2 linked regions of the Caenorhabditis elegans genome follow. The protein of the gene in region 1 interacts with the protein of each later gene in a pairwise test. Each region holds a gene or a part of one and is shown on either strand. Other genes may lie near its edges.

What was found.
Region 2: the proteins of F35B12.9 (region 1) and stn-1 interact in a two-hybrid assay, tested with the Caenorhabditis elegans proteins (one large-scale study listed by BioGRID).

What each region holds. Positions count from the first base shown.
Region 1 is NC_003283.11:11,599,366-11,603,120, reverse strand, and holds F35B12.9 (uncharacterized protein), read right to left. Parts: upstream 1,951-3,755; 5' UTR 1,928-1,950; coding exon 1,253-1,927; intron 1,209-1,252; coding exon 988-1,208; intron 940-987; coding exon 843-939; 3' UTR 763-842; downstream 1-762. Other genes in the region: dhs-20 (Retinol dehydrogenase 7), read left to right, coding at 176-339, 504-754; srx-84 (7TM GPCR serpentine receptor class x (Srx) domain-containing protein), read right to left, coding at 2,493-2,634, 2,679-3,048, 3,091-3,323, 3,510-3,673.
Region 2 is NC_003279.8:9,499,245-9,505,843, reverse strand, and holds stn-1 (Syntrophin-1), read right to left. Parts: upstream 4,577-6,599; 5' UTR 4,523-4,576; coding exon 4,427-4,522; intron 2,969-4,426; coding exon 2,847-2,968; intron 2,406-2,846; coding exon 1,490-2,405; intron 1,442-1,489; exon of another isoform or gene 1,379-1,441; coding exon 1,283-1,378; exon of another isoform or gene 1,117-1,282; coding exon 1,024-1,116; 3' UTR 1,013-1,023; exon of another isoform or gene 1,012-1,012; coding exon of another isoform or gene 868-1,011; intron 837-867; 3' UTR 686-836; downstream 1-685. Other genes in the region: F30A10.9 (PIN domain-containing protein), read left to right, coding at 79-152, 208-273, 328-476, 528-685, 868-1,011. UniProt on the Caenorhabditis elegans protein: Adapter protein that binds to and probably organizes the subcellular localization of a variety of membrane proteins. May link various receptors to the actin cytoskeleton and the dystrophin glycoprotein complex (DGC).

The sequences.
Region 1 (3,755 bases):
TAAAGTTTAGTGTATTCTCTTTCGTATTCAAAAATGATATTCAATTACTTCCTATCTCGAATTTTTCAAGTTTGATGTTTGGTTTCAGAATAGTTCAGGAGTACAAGTAAATGCATCTCCTAAAATTGTTTACTCAACTTTCAAGTGTCACTAAATCGTATGACTATAATTTCAGGCAAGAGCTCTACAATTTCGGAGTGAAAGTGAGCATTCTAGAGCCCGGAATATTCCGTACTCCATTGTTAGATGAGCAAGCTATGCTGAAGAGAGTTGATCATGTTTGGACACAAATTGACGATGAAACTAGAACTGAATACGGAGAGACATTTAAAAATTATTGTGAGTTTTGGAATACACATATTAGACTTTCAAAATTGGATGCAAATATACTTAATTAAAATATGTAAAAATTGAGATTGTTAAAGGGTGTCCAGGGTTTTTTAAAAATAATATCCCAAAAAATTCAGAACCAATCACCTGATACATAACAAAACATATTTCAGTTGCAAAAATGTGGAACAAGACCTACATCTCCATGAGCACAACAAAAATTCATTACGTCGTTGATAACTACTATCATGCTCTGACAGCAAAATATCCACGTCATCGGTATTACTGTGGATGGGATGCAATTTTTGTTTACGTTCCATTGTCTCTTCTACCAACCTGGTGGGCTGATTATGTTATCAGAAGTCTTGGAAAACAAGAGGTTGTTCCAGCATGTCTTGAGGATAGCATGAAGAAGAAAAACTAAAGAACATTGATAATCAAACATTTTATACCAAAGTTTTAGTTACTGTATATAAAAATAAAAAGATTTGAAAAAGTTTCCAGTAATACAACTACTGTGGTGTCTTCTTGGAGACTGTCTCAACGACAATAGAAGAAGGAGTGTAAGTTGGTGGAAGAGTTGTTGGCAATTGCGGAGCTACGGTTTTTCTGCAATTATTTTTTAAATGCATTTTTTGAAATTTTCATCAAACATACTTTGGAAAGCATTTGGTATATGCTTTCTTGGTGGCGAAAACGAAAGCAGCAATCAGAACAGAAAGGACAAGAATGTCGAATGTATTGAAGTTGAAATAAAGGAATTGGGATGTAGAAGATGGTTCTGAGTCATGATAAGATGGAATTATTGGTGGCATGTCCTCGTGTTTTTCAATATTCTTCTTGTCCTTTTCAGGGACGTGAAGAACATTTGAGTTGACCTGTAGGAATAATAATAAAGCTTTGTTATTTTCATTAAACATGCCTGAACATGATTGACATTTACGTGAACATTGTTGTTTCCATTATTATTAGACTCCATTTTGCTAGGAGCCTCGACTGGAACAAACAAGTAATCATAATCCAATGGAGGTGGTGGTCCCATTGGTCCGATTGGTCCAAGTGGTCCTGGATATCTCTCATTTGTGCGTTGTTCCTCGTCGAGTTTATCCAAATATATTTGTCCAAGAGCAGTCAGGAAAACTTTCTCTTCAGCATCATCCATTTTGGGTTTCATTGTCTTTGGTTTTGGGCCTCTTGCGAATTCTGGATCAACTGGTCCTTGGATCATGATTGGTTCATCGTCTTCAACAAATCTGTTCATTTTCTGTTGTCTAACCTTATCATCATAAGCTTCCAATTCTTCAGATGATGGACGGTCAAAGAATGTATTTTTCTTCTTTCCAAAAACGTCCAGCGGAGCTTCGTTGAACTTCCGTTTTGCTTGAATCATCATATCTGGATCGATTCTTCTTTGTTGATTAGTGTTCTTGTTTTGAACAACGTTATCTTCAAATGAGTCTGCTTCGGAGCTTATCGAAGATTCATCAGAAGAATCGGAAATATCTCGGAATTGTGGACGCGGGGGAGCATGTTGGCGGAACGCTTCGACTGAAGAAACGGCTAGAACAGAAATAAGTATCAGCAATGAATGCTTCATATTTCGATTGGCAGTCAATCACTCGAACGAGTGAATATTTGAAAAGAACCGAAATCGGTGGAGCGATTCAATCCCACTAAAAACGGTTTTGTTATGTGGGATTAGAGAGGATCAATGCGGATGTATGAGAAAGTTTTTTAAACGCAAATAACAGAACAACTCATGACATGATTGGAACCAGACAAAAGATGTTTTAACCTTTTTGTAGAACTTGTTGGATTTGTGACGTGGCAGACAAGATTGGTGAAATAACTGGAAGTTCAGACAGAGACCTATTATTTCAAATTGTAAAAACAAATTTGATTGAAAACAAAAATGCTCATGAACAATAGACACATATTATCTCTAGTGATTGTCAATTTTTCGGCTAGAACTGCCTTTTTAGCACTTTCAAGTGAAATTAACGTTTAGAAACTGGCTTTCACAAGTCTCCAATGAACATTATTCCAAGCAACCGAAAATCAGTATATTTTTTTCATTTATGTTAGAATTTCAATACCCTTAAAAAAATAATTCATAAATAATGCAGAACTACATAATTCAAAACTTAAAATATTAAATACGGCTATACGACAGGAGATGGAACTTTCATTGGTGTTACTGTGGCGGTTCCTTTTTCTTTTGATGCAACTGATGCATTTGTTGAAGATGCAAAAAAAGTTTTCTGCAGAAATGTGAGCCTTTCATTGAACATAACCATGATTAACCTAAATTTGGATTATTCATAAATACTTTCTTTTTGGAATCTAACCCATCAATTGAATGAAGACATTCCCATATTACAGTACCACAAAAAAATGACCACAATCTCTTTGTACTTAACAGAGACAGCCGAAATGTGAAGATCATATCAATTAAGGTTATACTATCCTGAATCATAGTTTGTAAAAATAGAACTTTGTTCTTCTTCAATTTCCGCTTTCTTCCCTTTGTCGAAAGATCTGTCGATTTATAGAAGAAATATATTTTAGCAAATATCGCTGCGTTTAATATTACTAAAACGGTTTGGAATATAGCAGAAGTATTGATATTTGAAGAATTGTCGTCATCTTTACATTGTTCACCCATATTCGGAGACCATGCAAGATCATAAGATGTATAAACCATCCAACACTCCAAAGCTAAATAATTAAATTAAAATTGATGAACGAGTTCACACTTACGGATGTAATGAAAAAACTCCAAAATAATTTTGACAAATCTATATATAAACATTAATAATGTTATAAGAAATGTTATTTTGAAATCGAATATTTTTGGATAGTATGTAGGGAAAAACATAGCGCAAAATCTGTTTAAAGCAATGTAAACTCCGGTATACTGAAGTCCAGAGTACAAACTATTTGAAAATCCAATAACTAGTGTTTCATAAAATGGGCTGAATGGAGAGGCCCCTCTGAAATTTTTTAATAACAGAAAAAATTTTTCTTGAAGTCTTCTAAGATTATTAAGCTCAATAATTAGAATATTAAAGCAGTATTGAATTTTTTTTCTAGGAAAACGAGCAAGTACCTATGTTGGAAAGAATTGAACTTCCCAACTCTGAAAAGTTAGAAAGAAAAATGTTTCGAAAGAAACTCACATTAGTGTAATCGGTAGAAAAGTTGCCAAAAATCCCCATGTTAATATTATTGTGTTTCCAATTCCTCGAAAAACACAAATAACATTAAACGATGTTCTCTCTGTCGGTGATTTTATGAATATATAGATAATTAGCAAATTTGTGACAGTTCCCATAATTCCGTTCTGAAAGCAAACGAAAGTTTATGAACCCGATTGTCTACCAATTAATACATCTATCTAGAAAATTAAGTTTTTGGGGAATCTG
Region 2 (6,599 bases), on another chromosome or scaffold:
AAGATTTTCTTCGTTTTTTCCAAATTTCTTCGATAATATATGTGCTAATTTACAAATATATGTTCTAATTTACAGAAAATGGGTAAACGCTTGAAGTCCAACGCCAGAAAAAGCGCTGTAAACAAGCTTGTCAAAAAGACAGACAACAGAATGTAAGGATAACGATAATTTTATCGAATAACCTTGATTTAAAACGCAATATTTCAGAAAAGAAGAACAAAGAGTCATTAGAACACCGAAAGTAGATGAACAAGAACTCAAATTGGTCCGTGCGTAAGTTTTATTCGTACGAATATGTGTCCAGACAATAATAATTCATAATTTCAGTCCAAAAATCTCATCCGCTATGTTTATGAAATACAATACACAGCTGGGTCCACCATTTCACGTTATTGTCGATACCAATTTTGTGAATTTCGCCGTCAAAAATCGCATTGACATGTTTCAAGGATTCATGGATTGTCTGTTCGCGAAAAGTGAGTCATACACTTTCTTTCGTTTTCTTGTATTTTATCACAATAATTCAGCTATTGTGTACGCAACTGACTGTGTATTGGCTGAATTGGAAAAAGTGAGAAGATTCAAAATTGCTCTGAAAGTTCTGAAAGATCCACGTGTGCAGAGACTGAAGTGTGAGCACAAAGGAACATATGCTGATGATTGTTTGGTTCAAAGAGTTACACAGGTTCGTTTATTCATAATTTTTCATTGTTTTTCATTTAATAAAATCTAACAAATCTTAAACGAATAAAATCTATTATGACGAGAAGAGGCAGGAGACGGAATGTGGTATTGCTGCAGTCTTTTTGTTTGGCAAACTTGAACAAATAACGAATCTGAAAATGAAAAAAATAATATAATTTTCAGCATAAATGCTATATTGTGGCCACTTGTGATCGTGATCTGAAGCGCCGCATCCGAAAGATCCCAGGAGTTCCGATCATGTACATTGTCAATCACAGATTCTCCATTGAGCGAATGCCTGATGCATATGGAGCTCCAATGAACTAACCTTTTGATGCTTCACGCGTACAATCCTAATCGATACACCTTGGTGGCGAGAAATGAATGAAGAATGAACACGACTGGCTTTGCGGAATTTAGCAAATCCAATTCCTAAATTTTTCATTCATTTATGCTTCTTTTGTTTTGAATATTACTTGTTGATCTGCTTTTATTGTTTTGTTGCCTATCCTTTTTTTTATTCAAAAACTTTACACAAAAAAAATCCGTTTTTTTTCTATAAGTATGAAATTAAGGTTAAAATAAAATCCATTTTTACCTGTTCACCATGTGGTGGTCCAAAATCGACCCAGAGAAAACGACCACCATCATCGCCGGTGGCGCGAATCGTTTCAAACGAATGTTGCCACAGTACCTGAATTGTAAGCTTTAAGAAAATGTAGCTTCTCTAAATGTTATAAATCTTTGTTTTAATCTAGAAAACGTTTATCACTTTCTTATTGCTAAATTATTCCAATGAGCTCACCTCTCCAGTCGACGAAAGTAATGATATTCCATTGTCTAGATTAACTATTAGTTCGCATGATTCGCCTCGCCAAAGACAAGGAGCAGAGACTTGAGATGTAGAAAGACATGCTTCATATCCACCGATCACTACTGCACGAACCCATCGTGCCAGTTCTGCATGAGTTTCTACCCGGATCGTATGTGTCCGAACACCTTGTTGAGTTCCAGTTCTCATACGGAAAGAGATCACATCAGTGAGACCTTTAATTACTGGCGCAGTTCGAGAACTTGTCTGAACGACTCTTGTTGCCACCAGAGGACGTACTAGTCTTGGCTCTGCCCATTCTGCTTTCAGCTGTGGAACAGCTTCATAGAACAAGATCTCACTATTCGTAAGCGTCATAAATTTAGGTTTCCACATTGAAATTCCATTTTCTGATACTTGTTCTGCAATCCAACCCATATGTCTCACTTGGGGGTTGTTACCGAGCATTATATTGACTTGAGCCAGTGCCTGAGTCAGAAGACACGTGGTACAGGCATGTAAAGCTTCAAACCATCCATCTGCTTCTTCACTACTTGAACATCTCATTGCTAGGGAATACCTTCCTGATGGACTTCTCATTTCTAGAATTCTACCTTCTGCATCTGCATCTATTCCAGCTCTTGCCACATATGCAAGCTTTAAACCAATTGTTCTAACTCGTTCCCGAATATCATCATCCCATTCAACATTTTCCACAATATTTTCCCGATGCATCATATCCTCTCTTCTATACTGTACTTGCAAGTCAACAACCCGTCCAGCTCGTTTCAATGCTCTTACAGCTTCTTCGTGTGAAGCATCGAGAAGGTTTTCTCCATTCACAGAGATAATGACGTCATCAAGAAATAGTTCTCCAGCCTGATCCGCTGCCATTCCTTTGAAGATTTTGCTACAATCGAAATTAATTTTGTTCTTTAATTGCTAAATTAAACATTCTATTTCAGAAAAAAAAGTGTCGATTTACGTATCGTGTGTACTGCCCGAGGAGAAGTGTACATTTTTGCAAACAATTTCACAGTTATCGCCTTAAATTCCTAATTTTGGATAATTCGGGAAATACTTTCTGTTTTTGACCGAAAACTGTAAAATCTTCTGAAAAAATTAAATGCTTCTCCACGGGGAGTACACACGCTGAGTAAATCGACACACGATTGTGTACGAGGTTTGCTAGTCCATTCTTCCATTTTTCAGTTATTATAAAAATTTTCTCTAGAGAATTGCCCTTGTCATTAAAACTAAAAATTATTTATCATAGATCAAAATTTCAAAATTGACGTAAAATCACGAAATGGCACACGAGATGTATAAATCTCCGCAAGTTCATTCATACCTGATCACAATAGGCATGTTGTTGTCTCTGCCTCCCTTAATTGAAATTCCTAATCCATTTCCATCATATTTCACAACTCGAACTGTCCGTTTCTCTGCTTCAGCCTCATTCTGCTCCATTGTCTGAAAAATAGTATATTTATTCATCACAGCTTGAACCCATTTCTCTTTGGATTTCACTTCCCTTGCTCATAAATATCCCCTTCCACGTTTCCCGACCAAATTTTAAACAATTTCAAACAAATTCACACATGCTAATGTAATTTTTGGAGGAGACTGAGTAAAATGAAATCATGCAAGCTGGCATACCAATTTGTCAAAAGCCGGAGCTTCGATTGACGGAATACTTGGAGAAGGGGGAGTAGATGACATGACGACTTCTTTTTTGACAAGCAATGGTATATTTTCTTTGTCTTTTCCCAAAATTTCAGTTGGACTGTCATACCAGAGATGAGAAAGATAAGAAAGCAAAAGAGTTATACACATTTTAATACTTGAGAATATATGTCGGAACGAAGAGTTCATATAGACTCCAAGAAGATAATTATTGTAGTCACAGTATACCTTTCTCCATCCGTTTTCTCCTTTTAAGTCGTATCATATACAAACTTCATCTCTAAGTAGCCTCATTCCATTCTTTCTTTTTTCTTCTAGCAAGAACGACTAATAAGTTTTCATAGCCAACTCGCCTCCTTTTTTGAAAAATGAGCCAAAATGTGGCGAAAGGAAAAGAAGAAGAAGAAGCATAGACTATTTGTAATATGATCCCATTCCCGTTTCTGGTTTCCATAGATGGATCTCTTCAGATGATATATTTCGTTCGTGGGCATCAGAAAACTTATGTTCGACGTAATTTCGTAAAAAAATAAATGTTTTATGACGCCAGAATACGGTGCCTGGTCTCGACACGACTGAAAACTTACAAAAAGATTAAAGGATTAAAGGTGTGAAAAATGTGTGTGCGCCTTTAAAACCTACAGTAATCTCCAGACCCAATCTCCAGCAGCTGCTTTTTCTAAAACGAAACAGTCTGCGAAATAGTGAGGATTAGAGCCTACTGTACTTCATAAAGGCGCACATTCTTTTCCGACAAATTTATTTATAACTGCTCGATACGAGGTTCTGGCTCGACCCCGCGCTCCATCGGACGCTGAAATGGCGGGAAAATTTTTTTGAAATCGCAAGAGGAATTTTCACGCAGCGCGTTGAAAAAGTGTATGCATTTGCGCGTGACGGTGTTTGCACAAAATACACCGAGGGGTCGAGCCAGAAACCCGTGCTCGATCGTGTTGAGACACGGTACCGTATTCTTTTGTCTTGAATAGCAAAATTTCGCATTTTGGTATTAATAAGAACGACCACTATTTTTCAGCAACTTGTATCATTCCACATTAGAAAAATGAATGATATTTTATTATACCGAAATTTAAATTATTTAACAATAATTGTTTCAAATATAGATTTTTGTTCGTTTTTAGAAACCATCCAATTTATTTTTAGAATTTCGCGAAAAATGAGTTGTTTTACAATAATTTCCAGTGGTTTTCTAGTTTTCGGAATATTTTATCATTAAAAAATTACTTGTAATGTGATAGCAGTTGGATCGAGAGTAGCCAATACACGATGCCATTGTCCCTGAACAAAAATGTCGACCAGGCCGGATCGAACGGCGGCCATCGAAACGACGCCGATCTAATCGGAGCAATACTACGAAATTGAGCCGATTGTACTCTGTAAAGTTGAATATTGCATATACCAATTTATGCCAAAAATTTGAATTCAAATTCGGGAGGATTTGTAGCGGAATGAAGGAAAGCGAGAAAAAAAACCAGAAGAGAAAGATGCTAAGAAGCAAAGAAACAGAAAGAAAAGGGGCAATAATAGAATATTTGGGCTGTGGGAGCAGCAGAGGAGTCCTCTCTCTTCTATTTCCCCTCGTTTTTCTTCTTCTCTCAACTGCTCTCTTCTCCGTCGGATGAAGCCGGAGAGCTAGTGCGACGGCACTCCTGCTCCCTCTTCTGCCTAACATGCTCTCTGATGAACTCTACCGCGCACTCCGAGTCTCGCTTCTTTCTCTACATCTCACTCTTTCTTTTTCCATCTGACTCTCAGCTTGGTGCCTCGAATTTATATCGGTTATGATTGTGTGTTGGGCGAAGAATCCCGTTGGCTTCCCGCCACGAGACGAACACTTACACACTACGTGACGAACACATGCAATTGTATTGTTGAAGAGAGAAGAAGCAAGTTGATCCTTTATTCTTTTCTTTATTTTCTTTCTCATTTGGTTGTAGTTGTAGTTTTCTGTGTCGTACGATATATTACAACCAATTGCAATTACTACATTAATCAGAAGTATTCCCTTTTACAACTTTTTTTATACAGTGAAAGTTAAATATTATCCAATTTAATTCCTATTTTCGAAATAAATTGAAATTACTATTAGGTGTTCTGTTTTTCGTGATGAAATTTAATTTTCAATTGCTGCTCTAGATACTTTAGCTCTCTAACTACAGTACCCCAGCAGAAATGCAATCTTTAAAAATCTATAGAAAATCCATCTGAAAATCCATCAATGTTTTTTCTTCCAAAAGCTATTCTATTCTGTGTCAAACAATTCTGAAAAACTTGAGAAAAAATTGAATAATTTTAGAATCTTGTTCCTTGATCTTTCTTCAAACATTTAGATCATTGACCGTATCTGATTTCTTTTTCCCTCCCTCCCCTCCACCAGTTATTGTTTCTCAATTTTTTGACGTTGAGCTTTGTTGTGTATTGAGCGAGAGACAAGGAGAGAAGTAGTTTATTACAAGAAAGTGTAAGAAGTAATGAATTATAAAGAGAGGTCGCTTACGCGATAAGTTCATGATGACCCAAAGGTCACGTCTGTATAAAGTTCAGGTTTACGTTCCGTCCACAACATCTCCCCTCTTATATGACAAAAAGCCAGAAATTATGCCTGGGCTAGGGGCATCACGACCAGAGGCGGTATATCGACCTCTGCGGCGAGTGGAGGCATGATCAGTGTTTGGGGCTGATCCTCGCACAACTTGTCGTGGGTGACTCTGTCGAAGAGAATGACACAGGAGGATGCCGGGTTGGAAACGCTCGCCGTCACTCGCAACATCGGATTCCAGCAGGGGGTCCAGATGGGTTTCTTTGATTGGCGAACTTCCAGAAGTATATGATTGGCGACTCTTTGCCACACGGCGACGTCTTCTGTGGCTTTTCTTCAACGAACTCTTGCTCTCCGTAACATGAATCGTAGTTATATTTGCACAAGTAGCATTTCGAGCATTGCCGGCAACCGACGAGACGACTTCACGAGCAGATCGAGAACCAACAGAATCACAAGCTGACAAATCTGGAGCACTAAAACCAAAAACAGAAGAATCTGAAACTAAAACTGGATTAGCTTCCCTCCCCTCCCCACGGACACCTTGAGCGACAAATTTTTGGCGGCAACTAGAGCGCGGAATGTTTTCCAAGAGCGACAATTTACACGGATTTTCGATGAATGATGAAGCATAGTCATTCCCACGGCTCCGGCGACCGCAAATGTGACGGAGTTGGTTCGTGTGAATTCTTTGAATTCTCGATCCCAACTGTACTTCATAGAGTACTCCGTTCAATTGTCTTTGAACCACTCCATAAATCCAGCCAAAATTGTGCTCTCCTTGAACCCGAGCAAGGCACAATTGCCCAATCTGAAACGCTTTATTGCGCGCAAATCTTACATACTGGCGCTTACTAC